Linked DNA regions of Notamacropus eugenii. The protein of the gene in region 2 purifies or fractionates together with the protein of the main gene of each other region. This does not show direct contact. Links are inferred from orthologs where the notes say so. Each region holds a gene or a part of one and is shown on either strand. Other genes may lie near its edges. The genes, in order: COA3 and COX5A.

Region 1 (6,704 bases), on a different chromosome or scaffold from region 2:
TAAAGATAAATCTGCCCTTTCCCTTTAATTGACTGGGGAATGCCTTTTATTAAATGAATCTTGATAACAATGCCACTTAGCAGTGCATACCTGGCACCACCACTCCTGATTCTGGATGAAAGCACTGGCCGCAATGATCCCAACTGCCAAAAGCATGAAATCTTCTTTCACTGATACAAATTTTCCCCTGAGCAATTAAAATCACAGTTCAGTTTCATAACTAAGGTGAGAACCTTGTTTGCCTAAGTTTTGGGGTCATCCTTGATGTTATTTGATTATGCTGAGTATGGAGAGAAATTGTAGAACCAGCTGACTATCCCATAGGTAGCTTCCTCCCAACTAAAAACAAAACGGAACTTAAGGACAATATACAAGCCTCATTCATGTGTATTTGATTTACTAGTCTTTTGTGTTCCCATCTGTTATCCTAACAACATAATTGTGGGGCTTTCTCTCATCTGCCTTTACAGTAATCAGGCAATTTTGTCAAAGTTGCAGCCTTATGACTGACTTGTTTTGTCTGTTTTGTTTCTGAAAACATTACAACTTATGATCAAGAATCAATGATAGGAGGGATAATAGGAGATGTTAATGACTTGAATTCATTTAAATATTTTAAGACTTTAAGTCTTTTGGGTTTTGGTTGGGCTGAACTTGCTACATCAGAACAGTAAGTGCAAGTTCATAAATAACAAGCTCATGAGAATGAATACAACAATTATCTCTACCAAAGTGAGGGGACAAACTAGTTGGCCCTACTAGATCTGATCGACTCCTCAGGTCATTGTCAGAACACTGCTCCCAGTATTTGTAAGTCTATAAGAGGTGCCTTACCTCTGCTCCACAGGTGTAAAGTTCTCAATTGATGCCCTCAGCAGGCTTTCATAGATGGGTTCATGCAGGAGATAGACCAAGTCAAGTAATGTCAGGCAGGTTCCATGCAGCTGTTTGGCTGAGACCAAACAGCCATTATACCCTGGATGGGGGCATGGAGAGAGGTGACGTCACTACCTTTGTTTCTCCATCAAAGAAAATAATTGACGAAAGATATAGTCAGATTCCTCATAAATCAGGATAGTTCATTTCAAAGGTCATGTCACATTAGGTGACATTACTCTCCCTCTTCATCAGATTGCCCAGAGCCCTGGGGCACATTGCCTCTGGTAGAGGAGTCTCAAGATACACTTGGCATTTCATGGCTACTGTGTTTGCCTCATTTCCACTGAGATATCTTTTGAATGAGATACCTAAAACTTCTAGAAGCATCTCCACATATGCCAGAGGAGTGGGTAGATTGATTTGGAAGTTTAAAGACTTCAGAATAGCAAGTTCTGACTCCAGTAGTTCTTCTTTAGTATAAAGGTACCCTAGGGCCTGGAGGAAATTCAGGACCGTAACATTGCTGACTATCTGAGTAAAGAAAAGAGGGGGAGGGGACAGAGAAAAAGATTCTTTAATAAATTGGGGTTTTTGTCACAAAGATTGGGGTGAGGGGGAGTGAAACAAGCATAATACCATAGATGTAGAGCTGGAAAAATCTCATTTTACAGATGAAGAAACAAGTTCAGAATTCAAAGGTAGCAACAAGAGGTGGAATTTTAAACTCAGCTCTTCCAATTCCAAATCCAGTGCCCAGGGATATATATTTTCCCTTTTGTAAATCTAACCTTTAATGATGATTAAAGTATGTTGACTATTCAGGCACCTTATGCAAACTGTCCTTGAGTCCAAAGGGGAGGAAAGGTGACCTGTATATCTATATAATGATGGCATTAATCCAGCTATTGTGCTTTGAGAACAAGAATGCAGGTTGTAACAGCTGTGTGTGTTTAGTAGGAGTGCTTAGGAAATGTAATTGCACTCTGGAGTTTCTAAACGGGTAGAATCATCCAGCCGAGGGGTAGGTCTCTCAGAGCTGCCCTGTGGACAGCCTCTTTTATTCATAATATCAAGCTGTCCACAAAAGGCCAGATTTTAGAGCACAGTATGGTGAAGGTGGAAATTGCAAGACCAATTCCTTACTTTGTAATGGAAGGAAAGTTTGCTTGCCAGCTGAACACATGACACAAGTCGAAGTACAAATGTATTGCAGAGCTCTTCTTTCCGGGTCCTCCAGCTCCAGGGCTCTGCTTTCTCACTCCCTCTCACCACAGGTGCTGCTTGGCTGCAAATGCTTTCTGCTTGCTTAACCATGAACCTACAGGAGTGGGGGGAGGTCAGGAGTAAACAATCTGGACTTCAACACATTCCAGAGGGAGCATTTGTTCTTCAAACTCTGCTACATCTTAGCCTCTCCAATATCAATTTAAGACTTGGTTACGCTTGCAAGTAAAGGAGATCAAGACCAAGGTAAGAGGTGACTGGTACCATTTGAACAGGAGCAAGCACATTAGTTAATCAGAGAGCTACTTATTTGCCAAGGCCTTATGCCTGGGACTTTACCTTTCTAGGATTTCTACTGCTTGGTAGCTCACGGATTTTTCCAGGCGCCATTGTTCAGACAGGAGAAAAACGAATTCTGCCAAAATAAAAAAGAAAAGCCTGAATCACAAGATGCAACCCTAACCATTCTGAACTCTTGGTGTTGTGTAAAAAACCATGATTCAACCCAAGAAAGAGGGATCAGGAGGTGAGAAAGATGAGACTAGAATAACTAAAACAGAGCCTAATTTCTTTTGCTGCCAAGAATCTGATCAGAGCCAAAAAGGGAAGTCTGATTGAGTGCCAAGAACAAGGGCTTACCAAGCTCCTTGGTGACTTACTCCAGAAGGGTTCAACAGATAAGAGCTTTTACCTGGTACCAAAACACATTACCCCCCTTTCCTGCCCTCTAACTACATGCTCATGTTCCTGACTTCAGAGAGGTTCTTGAATAGATGAAAAATCCTAATTCCTATGAAGTTTAATATGAAACATAAAAATATGGTCCTGGAAGTTGATGACACTTCTCTGCTTAGAGGAGTTAAATCTTCCTCTGGAAGATGTGTATGTGTATCTTACCACCACCATGTACTTTAAAGTGAGCATGATTCCTCTGGTCTGTTAAATGGGACTATAGTGGCTAGATTTCTTCCCCACCAAGTTTTTTGTTTTTGTTTTTTGTTGCAGGGTTGTTAAATAGGCAGATTTTGAAAACACTAGGAAGGTGGGAAGAATCAGCTCTAACTGCCTCCAATGTTTCCCTTTGAAAAAATAGTCCCAGTTGGAATTGTTTTCCTTCAATATTTCCCTTTGAAAGATAGTCTCAGTTGGAATTGTTTGGCTTGCAGTTCCATTATAGGGTGGGAACCAGGGTAAATCTCAGTTCTGAGCAGAGGAACTTTCCAAGACCCCTGGGTTTTACATAAAACACCATCAGCGGCACTGCAGATGGTCAGATGTGGCAGCCAAACCCCGCCTCTTTACTGAAACTTAAATGTCTTTTGGTGAATCTACGATCCTCTGGACCCATGTGGCATATAAACACACCTATGTAAACTATCCATGCAGGGGAACAGAAAGCCCCCACCCCACACACAACTCTGCTGACAAAATGAAACACTAAGCTAATTCATGTTTGCTTGTATCCCCAGTGCTTAGCCCAATGCCTGGCACATGGCAGACACTTAATAAACGCATCTTGACTTGACCTTGGTAATTCAGACATTAGGTCCAGATAACTTAAGCCAAAATAAAATTCTAGGGTTACTTCTTGTTTGCTTTGGGGCCTGAATGATGAGGGCAATGGCTTCAGCTTTCCTCTGATTTGCCAGGGGAAGCTGGGGGTGGGGGTAGGGTGGGCGAGGACACTGGGGGGAGGGCGCTTTGGGTGTCCCTGGGGCAGGACAGATCCCATCCCCTCCAAGTCCTGGGCCCACACACCCACGATCCGGGTCTCCCTGAAGCTGCCCGTCTGCCCCCGGGCTTCCCGCACTGCCCTCTCGTTCTCCTGGGCCAGGTGGAGCAGGGCGTCTTCGATCGTCTGTGTGTCCACAGCGCCAAACTTGAAGTCGCTGAGGGAGGCCGACCCCCTTGGCCCTACAGCCCCAGCCATTGTTAGCTGACCCTCCCGACGACGCCAAACTTCCACACCGCCTCGAAACTTCGCGGTCTGTGCGCAGCCTCGTGCTCCCAACGGTTTTTCTAGGTCTGAAACGCAGAGCTCAAGGGTGCCGCGGGAGCTTCGGCCAATCAGAGGGCTCGCCCAGGACGCCCCGCCCCCTCCTCTGCCTCTCTCCCCCTTCCGAAGGAATGGCCAATCAGACTACAAGTACCAGGATCCTTAGTGGCGGCGGCGACGACCGAGAGGTTCCCTTCCTTCCTGGCGTGCGCCGTGGCTCTGACCCGCTCTGGAGTAGGTCGAGGAGTGAGATGGCTGATGCTAGTGCCGGATCCGAGGCCGGAAAGGCCCCGGTAGCGCAGCGCATTGATCCTGCGCGAGAGAAACTGAGCCCGGCCCAGCTGCACTTCATGCGGCAGGTGGAGCTCTCCCAGTGGCAGAAAACGCTTCCGCAGCGGCGGGGCCGGAACATCGTGACCGGCCTGAGCATCGGGGCCTTGGTGTTGGCCATTTGTATCTGTGGGTCACGGAGGCTAGGGGAGGGGGAGGAGGAGGGGAAACGAGGCTGGGGGGAGGGAAAAGAGGAGGAGGGAGAGGGGCACGGCGGGGGTGGCGAGGGGGGGATGGGGGGAGGGGGTGGCGGGAGATCCTAGGCCTCGGTCAGAAAAGAAACTGACGCCTAGTGAGAGGCGGTGTTTGCCCAAGGTCACCGCGCTAGTCAGTAACACAGCCGTGGCTAATGATGAGTTAACAAGTATTACCTAATTTAAGAATAGCAGTAACTAACATTTAGAGAGCGCCTACTGTGTGCCAAGCACGTTTTACAAAGGAGGTGCCGCTCTTACCCCCATTTCACAGATGAGGGAACTGAGACAAACAGTTTTGGGTGCCCAGGATCACGCGGCTAGTATCTGCCGGTGAATGGAATTCCCGGTCTCCTGGAGACCCAGGTCTTCCTGAGGCCACACCTCTATATCCTCCGTGCCAAGTAGGGGTCTTAGATTCTTCAGCTCCCAGGTGTAGCATTCTGCACTCAGGGAACACATAGCTTCCGGTGCTGGACTTTTGGTTTCCACCGACTAGGGACTCCTGATGGTGAAACTCTACCAATGCAGGTCTGCCCCTTCTTTGCAACTTACAGAGAGCCCTGGGAGAGGCGTGACTTACAGAGACAAGCCTTGAGCCCATATCTTGTTGGCTTTGAGGCTGACCTGCTATCCATTAGGCGCTGCTGGGAGCCATTGTGGGGGCTGCGGGTCTGGGGTGGGGGTGCAGCTGCTGTTTGAGATTCCAGGATGGTGTGGAGGCAGAAAAGCATAGACCACTGGAGGTAGGGGTGGGGAGCTGGAGGAAAGAAAGTTAGGAGAGTGCTCCAGTTTCCTCATGGTTTTCCTGAGCCGGTGACCCCCAGATGGGTATACATTCTACTCAGTGTCGCAGGAGCGGTTCCTAGATGATTTGGAAGACAAGGCCAAAGCTGCTAGAGTGAAATCTGCTGGGGCCAACAGCCCCTGAACCCCAAGTGGGTGCTCACGCTGTCTCCACCCTGGATGGAACTTGTTCAGAATAAGGATGGATGCCTCCACCTTCTGTACTTCCCCTCCCCTGCAAGAAAAGACTCCTACTGGGATAAGGCCAACCTGACCTTGGGATGTTGTTTTGTTATGGAGTTCCACCCTACTTTGGGAATTGTGTATCCAGCCAATTTGATGGGAACACCTGTTCCTTCTCCCCCCCACCAAAACAAAAGAAATTGAGCCTTTGTCACAACAGGGAGGAGGCACAACCAGATCACCCCCAGCTTTTTCGGGAGCATTTTATTCATGTCTTCATAGCTTCTTCCTACTGTAGAGATTTAAAGCCATTGTTGGGGGGCAAGTTTAGTATCTCTTCTCTTTGCTGAAACCTGATAGGGCAATGTTGGTGGTCAAGCTGAGAGCTGATTCACAATAAAGTGAATCATCTGTTCTAGAGCCATGTGAATCTATTTGGGGGATGGGAGTGGAAAGCTCTGCCAGCTATGGCAATTGTGTTGCCCTAAGGAAATGTGAATGTTTAACTAGAATGGCTTTTCCTGCGATCTTTCCACCGGATTAGCAGGTAAGGATCGTGGCACTCACTGGACTGTGTGAGGCTAAACTATCCTTCATGTACAAATATCTCATCTCCAGTTTCCCTCCATTGCCTGGGGCCTTCACAATAGCCTTTACAGGAGGGGTGAATGGGGGTCATCCAGCCCTCATGATTTCAGAGCTTGCCTGTGCAAGCCCAGGGTGGGGTTTGGAGGAGAGGTTAGATTGGTGGAGTTGATCATTGACCTTGAAATTAAGCTGCTGATGGCTTGATGCCAGGAGGCTGAGTGTCCTCCACCTCTGCTCCCCATTGTGAGAGATCTTTTAATCCTACCCCTGCCTCCCCCACCAGGCTGGGCCCTTCCACCCACCCTCTATTCCCTGCAGGGCTGACAGAGCAACAGACTCATTTCCAATAATTTTATTGGCTTTTGTACAAGTCTGACAGCAAGCCCAGCCTTCAGCTTTGGGGGGTGGAGTGAGGAGTGATTGGAGAGGGAAGTTGTCCACAAGCAGCTTTGTGTAGTTTTAGTGGTTGGTGCTTGGAAGCCCCAGGGCTCACACTCCACACTGCAGGAGTCTCTCCATCTGCT
Region 2 (7,669 bases):
CAGTTATCAGGCTATATTTTTGCCTGGGAACTTTTTTAGATTACTTGGTTTTTTAGGTTGACAGTATAAATTTTGTGAAAAGTAACTATCAGCAGTACTTGTCCAAAATGAAGGTCTGTAAAACGCTGAATTATACAAAATAAAATCTTATTATGATCATTAGTGTTTATAAAATGCTTTAAAACCCTATAAACACGAACCTAAGAGCTTACTCATTTGGCTAGATCCTCTGAAGGAAGACACAGAATCAGAGAACATTAAGATAGAAAAGGACCTTAAAATCTGGCTGGTTCAATTTTCTTGCCAGATTTAGAAGTTATTTTAATATTCTTAATTTTCAGGGCCTCTTCCCCCAGTTTCTTAACTCCATCATGTAGAATTAAATTGCACATTCCTATTTTAAAAGTAAATTCCATGTAGGAAAATACATTTTTTATAATATTCTCTTTTCACTGAATATTAAATGCAAATGGGTTTTTTTGGGGGGGGGGGCAGATAGGAAGAAGGAGCTTCCCCAAAGAATGGAAAACAAGATGCAATTAAAAAATGCTTTCAACCCAAAAGTCCCCAAACTGAAAAACACAGAACTAAAAAATGGCTAGAGGAATGATGCAATGGTATAAACATACAATTAATTTCCATTATAAAGATGAAGGATTTCCAAACTCTCTTTTCTGACACTAGGATAATCTTTTCCAACTGGTGTTATAAGACATACTTCCAAATTTAAATTTTTTCTAAAAATAAAAATGCTCTCTAGATATATCAACATGGCACTTTGGGTAGGGAATCACAAAACTGGACAAATAAGATACAGAAACTCAAATGATCGAGAATCACTGATCTATACTAATTTACACACCGTTAAGATAAATAGGAGGAATTAAAATTTCCAGAGATTGACAAGCCAAACTTTAGATTCCCCAAAAAGACTAGAGCTTCCCAGGAAGAATGGTGTTACAGATTTCAGTATTTAAATTCACAACCTTAAGTGCTTAATTCCAAATTGTAACATGTTACCATCAGGGATTCTAGGATTAAAGTGCCATTACCATAAAGCCTTCCTAGAACAGATACAAGAGTAACAAGATAATAAAAGGGAATTAGCAGAGTATATTACACCCTAGTCAGATTTCTCAACATAAACTAAAAATGTCCCAGTCACGGCAGAGCATGATCCTGTACACAGCATATTTCTTAGGATCACCCTAAGTGGTCTTTTCTTGGTTCCTCAGACACTTTATCTATTTCTCCAGGCCTTGGGTTACTCGCTGTCCGGTTCTCAGAGTTCCTCTCTTTCTTTTAGCTGCATGAATCCTTTGCTGATCCCAATGCTAGCGCCCTTCCTTTGTGGAGACCTTAAATTTAACCACTTCCTATGTATCTGTATTTGTTCTGCATCTGCTGTATTTAGCACGGCTGTGGGCAACGAGGTGGACCAGTGGATAGAGGACTGGGCTTGAAGTCTGGAAGACCTGGTTCAAATCTAGCCTCGGACGCTTACTAGCTATGTGATCCTGGGTAAATCACTTAACCTGTTTGCCTTAGTCTACTGAAAAAGGAATCAGCAACCACTCCAGTACCTGTGCCACAAAACACCACGGACAGTACGGTCTATGGGGTCAGGACGAATCAAAGGTGACTCAACAAAAACCTACCATATGCAGTGCATGCACACAGCACACTCTCTAGTCTAGGTACCCGTCTTCCTATTAGAATGTAAGCTCCTTGCAAGGAGACTGTGGCATTGTACTTGTATCCCCCGTCCCCATCTCGGAACCTGCGCGCATAATAAAGGCTGACTGCTGAATCCCAGCTCTGCAGCTAGCAGGCACCTCAGAGATCACCCGGCCAAAGGAGATGCTCAGAGAGCACAAAGGGCTTCCTAGCCCGTGATAACAGTCCTGGTTTTGCTGACCCCAGGCCACTGGGTGTTTGCGCACTCCTGCACGCTGCCTTCCTTCTCCCTTAGTATCACGAGCAAAGGACCTGTGCGTACCCGAGGCTTTGTAAGATCGCAGGGGCATTTCCAAGCGCCACCCCGTCGGTCTCCCGCACAATGGGGCTCTCGCTACTACCTTGCACTCCCCGGGGTGCTTCTGAAGTCATTTTGGACCCGCGCCGCTTGGGCTTTGTGTGCCCCTTTCGGCGGTGTGCTAACTCCTGCATCCCCTTCTCAAACGCTTTAAAAACTACAACTCCACCACGGAAAAAAAAGCTACATTTCACTGTCAGAGGTCGGTGAAAACAACTTCATCTCCTCCCAGTTCTCGACCCCGCTGGGACACCCCCCCCCCCCCACCCCGTTCCGGCTGAGGACGGGGCCCCCGGAGGCTTGAACGCCGCAGGGTTCCGTCTTTGGGCCGGGACAGCCAGGCTCCTACGCGCCGCGGACCCTGGCTCCCACGGAGAGCCCCGGGCCCAGGGTCACCGGGGTCAGCCCTAGGTGCTCCTGGAGGCCGGGCGGCGCCAGTGGCCCTTCCGCCCCACCCCACGGGCGCCCGGACGTTCAATGTCACCTTCGCCTAGGGCGCGCCTTAGGGGCCGGGTTGCCAGGCCCGCCCGGGCCCGCGCCCCTGCTCGAGGAGCCCAGCTTCGGGAAAGAGCAGACCGGGGAGCCGGGGCCCTGGAGTCGCCCCCGGGCGAGCCTGGCCGGCGGCGGTCACGCTAGGCCGCGGCTCGGGTCACCGCAAGGACGCCGGGCCGCGCGGGCCGGGTGCTTACCGGCGGTGGCGGGAGAGGCGGAGGACGACCAGGAGGAAGGGGCCGCAGCCCCCGGCTTGGGTAGCAAGACCCGCACCGAGGCAGAGCAGCGGCGGAGAGCGGCGGCCAGCATGGTGACAGCGGGTGAGGGCGACGGGACTGACCGAGTCACGGACTGCCTGCCGACTGCTCAGGACACAGGCTGAGGAGCGCGAGCGGGTGCGCGGCGCATGCGCGTGGGGGAGGCTGGCACCGAGCTCGCCCAAGGGGAACCGACGGGGCGGGCGGGCGGGCGTGGGCGCGAGTCAGCGCCAGCGGCGCGCGTGCGCGCGCGCTCTGGGGGCAAGTGGCTGCGGACGCCACGAGGCCGCCGAGGAGGGGGCAGGGAAGGGGCGGGGCTATGGCGGCGCTGGGAGGACAAACCACATCCCGCTCAGCTGAACCTCGTGACTGGCCGCGGCCATCTTGGAACGAGGGCGGCCAGAGGGCGAGCAGGAGGAGGGAAGGGAAACGAGAGGAAGGCGTATTCCCCAAAGGGAGAGGAAAAGAAGAGGCCGCCAGGCGGCGCCCTCGCTCCGATCGCGGGAGCGAAGGCCTATATCCAGGCCGCTGGGACTCTCGCCAGGTTGGTTCTAGCATCGCACACTCTATGGCAGTTCCTTGATTGGCTCAGTCTACGCTGAGAACCTCCCGGCAGCCCGGAGCGCGCGCACGGGGCCACGCCCCCTGACTTAGCGGCGGCCAACCAGCCTCGCCGCGCCCCCACGTGGTTGAGTCGTGTTACACCCGGCGCTCCAATTAAAGTCCTCATCCCGGGTCTGCCGGGGTTACCCCAGCTAGACAGGCATCAGTGATTTTGGTCAACTCACCTCCCTTCTCTGGGTCTCGGCTTTCTCGTCTGCAAAGTGAGGAAGGCCAAGGGAATTGGACTAGACTTAATACTGTGTGCCAAGCATCGTGTCAGGGGCTTATTAACCTTCTACTGGAAAGAGGCAATTGGCCCAGAGCACGCCAAGTGGAAGGTCACAGGGTGGAGGAGAGGGCTCTGGACCAGTGCTTTACAGGCAGCTGGGGCCTCTAGGTGAGGACCGCGAAGGCTGGGGGTTCTGCCCGGCTGGAAAGGCTCGCAGACTCCAAGTCAGTGGAGGGCTTTCCTACAGAGAGGACATTTCAGTGAAGAATTGCTATAGTAATGTTAATAAATCCCAGGAGAATGTAATGTAAAGTCTTTGAGCCGGGGATATTTTTGCTTCTTTCTTTGTCTTTATATCTTCAGCCGGACCTGGTGGCCGGAATGGTGTAGGCGCTTAATAAATGTTAATTGGATTTATATACCTCTGAAAGCACTTTCTTCATTATTTAATCAATGACATGATCTCCAGGTAGCTTAGCTTCTGTCCTTTGAATTCCATGGAATTGCTCGCCTCCCAAAGATCTCTGGTGACTGCATAATCACCATGTTCAGGGATCTTGTTAGAATCACACTCCATGACCCCCCTACAATATTTGACCCTGCTAACCATCTCCTTCTGCCACAGGGGTTAAAAAACGACAGAATCCCTCATCCCTTTTTTGTCAATACACCACACTCTCCTGCCCTCCTCTGCCTGTCCTGTCTTCTTCCCTGATGTCATGGTCCTCTTTGAAAACGAAGGACAAACACAACCTGTGAGTTGACCAAACTGTCTGAATGGGGACCCAGCTAGCTGGGTAACTCGGTTTGTTCTCTCCCTCTCTTTCTCCTCTCCAAAGGAAGATAAATTTTGATTTCCAGATGCTTCCCAGTTAACTTGGAGTTTACTGGCTAGGTCAGTCTTTCCTTCCTTCGTTCCTTCCTCTCTTCAAAAAACCTTAACCCAGCTCACTCTGAAGCACATAGATTGGACCACAATAGGTCCCTGCCCAAGCTCCACTTAAAGGCTATATTTTGGGCCCTCCTGGCTTACAGTTAATGTCAGTGGTAATTGTTTCTCTTGGGAGCAGCAACCCTGAGAGTCTTCCCTGGTCACTGGATCCAGATGACTGGAGGAGAAAGTGACACTGCTGACCTTGCACAATCCTCACTCAAATCAAAGTCAACTGCAAGTCACCTCATCATTTCCCTGATGTCATGGTCCTTTTTGAAAATGAAGGACAAACACAAAAGTACACATGGGTGTACTTTCTATCCTGGACCCTTCTCTACTCTTTTTTCCTTACCCTTCCTTTGTCAATTTTTCTATGCCTGTGGTCTCCACTGACATGTAGGGTATCTACAGGACTCTGGAAGACAGAAATCTGAAAACCTAAGTTCAAATATGGACACTACCACATATGTGTGTTCTTTGGTCCTCAGTTTTCCAGGAATTGTAACAGCCATTGTACCTACCTCACAGAATTATTCTGAGAATCAAATGAGATATGGTAGGTAAATTGCTTTGTAGCCTTTGGAGAGCTGTTATATAAATGTTGGCCATTATTATCTATACAACTGACTAGCAAATCTACAACTTCCAGACCACTCTCCCAGACCAAGCTCCAGTACTGTTGTTCTCCCGGCCCTTTACCTGCTGGACAGCTCCATCTGCTTTAGCTGTCAGTTACAAACCCAACATGACTAAAACCAGTCAGTACACTTCTCAACCTCAATTAAATATTTATCAAACATCCACTATGTGTAAGATTTGCTGTGTTAGTGATTGAAACCTCAAAGATAGTCCCTAGTCCGATCCTTTGCCTTCAGAGAACTTGCAGTCTAGTAGGGGGAAATGACCAATACACAGATAATTAGAATACAAGCAATAACATATTAATAGAAAAGGTCCAAAGAGAGTGACATGAGAGATTCAGATGGAGAAAAAGCATTTATAATGGGGTGAATCAAGGAAGGCTTCATAAAGGAGGTGTCTGAACTACTTTTTGTTATTGTTGTAGTTCAGATCTATGATTACCTTGGTGTGGTGAAACCCTCAGCCTGAAATTCCTTTCCCTGATGCATTTTAGCAATCTCTTTGTAGTTTATAGTCTTAGAGAGTTGCCTGGGGCACTGAGGCTAAATGACTTGCTAGCCTGTATTATACTTTGGAGGCTGGGAGTGAATGTAGGTCTTTCTGACTTCAAATGAATGATGCTTCAAGTAATATCTAGTACATCAGGCTGAAGGTCCCTTTATTCTGGTAGCAACAGCAGCATTAGTACTAGTACTAGTAAGCAAAGCACTTTACAGCTATTATTATTTCACTTGATTCTCACAACAACCCTGAGAGGTAGATGGGGATAATTATCATTCATTGCATAATTGATCTATTCTTTGGACAGTAATTTTTAGTGCCATATCTTTTGTAACTATGAGATTGTAACAACAAGCACTCTAGCATACCCAGAATGACCTGCTAGCACAGGTTCTTGGATCTACTTTACTAGGAAAGATAGTTATTTAAGGAGTCAACAATCTTTTTAAAATTACATTCATTAGTTCAGGGGAAAAGTCAGCATTCTGAACTTCAGAGAAAATATAAGCAGAGAAATAAAGACCAATAGACAGGGTTCTACAGTGCGAATCAAAGCAATATTGTTATACACTTTACATATATCCCTGGATGGAGAGAACCTTTACATTTGAGTAGTGTGGGGGGGAGGGGGCTCTGGACAGAAGGCTGCTCTGGGACTCAACCAGGGAATCACAAGATCCTTCTCATAAGCAAGTCCCTAAAGCAAAACCTTACCTCAGAGTATTTACACAACTTTCTCAGAGCCAGAAGGCTTTGCAACCCTCCTGACTCAATGCCTAATTAGAAATTAGCAAATGGTGTGAAAGCCTTCCCAAAAGTAAACCTCCCCTAAGCAATCTTCCCTTAATGGGTTCCAAGTGAAGCCTGTTAATGGGTGGGGAAGATCTTAAATTCCATTAACATTACAGAGATTCAAAACGGTAACTACTCTGTACTGGCCTCTGAATGCATTCAGCAGAGAAGAAACAAATTGGAAGACAGATTCATGGGATTTTTTTTTTCTGTGTTGATAATTTGGTGATCCAGCCAACTACATTAATATTATTAGATTGGCAATGTTTTGTTTTGTCTTTGTTTATAAATTCTTAAGATTGTTTTAAGTTAGTGCTGTCTTTATAAGTGTCCTGCATTATCATTTTGGGAAAATATTATATAGAAGTGCTGCTAATATTAAGAATGATACCAAGAATTTGAAGCATTAATAACATTAGGAGGTTAGATCTTTGTCTGGAATGTTGTGATGGATTTATGAATGAAAGCAATCACAAAGTAGAAACATGGCATGACTATTTCCTCTGGTTAATGGTCATCTTAAATATTCAAATGTGTGTTCTCCAGTTTGTCAGAGTTCATTTGGGTTTGGTAAACAAGACTGCAGATACTGGAAAGCTAGAAATGCTAATAGAAAGCATAATTTGAAAACAATAAGATTTACTGGGACTATTTGGAACACACTCAAAATGTGAAATAGACTATCTATGCTGCATTTAAATGATATGGGGTGATTGTTTTTTAGAAGTCTGAAGATATCTGAAAAATACTGTTATAAAGAAGACTTCAGAGAGGCCTGGAAGGACTTATATGACCTGATGCTGAGTGAAAGGAGCAGAACCAGGAGAACTTTATGCACAGCAACAACCACAGTGTGTGAGAGTTTTTTCTGGTAGACTCAGATTTTTGTAATAACACAAGAACTTCTGAAAAAAAAAAAAATCCCAATGGTGGACCTCAAGGCAAAATACCTTCCACACTCAGAGAGAGAAATATGGAAGTCACTCACATAATGTAGCAGATCATGTTTGTGTATGTGTATCTGTGTATCATGTTCTGATTTGTAATACGGATTCTTTCATTTATCTTAGTCTGACTACATAGCATCACTATAGTGAAAATATACTCAATAGGAAAGTATATGTAGAATCTATACAGAATTGTATGCAGTCGTGGGGAGGGAGGGAGGTAGTGGGGGGTGGGTG

The links.
Region 1: the proteins of COX5A (region 2) and COA3 purify together in Homo sapiens (affinity purification with western blotting; 3 studies listed by BioGRID and IntAct, with this or other methods). This does not show direct contact. The link is inferred for Notamacropus eugenii from reciprocal best matches to the Homo sapiens genes COX5A and COA3.

What each region holds. Positions count from the first base shown.
Region 1 is NC_092873.1:359,329,527-359,336,230, reverse strand, and holds COA3 (cytochrome c oxidase assembly factor 3 homolog, mitochondrial), read left to right. Parts: upstream 1-4,155; 5' UTR 4,156-4,230; coding exon 4,231-4,552; intron 4,553-5,450; coding exon 5,451-5,554; 3' UTR 5,555-6,012; downstream 6,013-6,704. Other genes in the region: CNTD1 (cyclin N-terminal domain-containing protein 1), read right to left, coding at 91-187, 835-976, 1,248-1,410, 2,023-2,197, 2,443-2,518, 3,862-4,033. UniProt on the Homo sapiens protein: Core component of the MITRAC (mitochondrial translation regulation assembly intermediate of cytochrome c oxidase complex) complex, that regulates cytochrome c oxidase assembly.
Region 2 is NC_092872.1:241,100,366-241,108,034, reverse strand, and holds the start of COX5A (cytochrome c oxidase subunit 5A, mitochondrial), read right to left. Parts: upstream 3,102-7,669; 5' UTR 2,837-3,101; coding exon 2,725-2,836; intron 1-2,724. UniProt on the Homo sapiens protein: Component of the cytochrome c oxidase, the last enzyme in the mitochondrial electron transport chain which drives oxidative phosphorylation.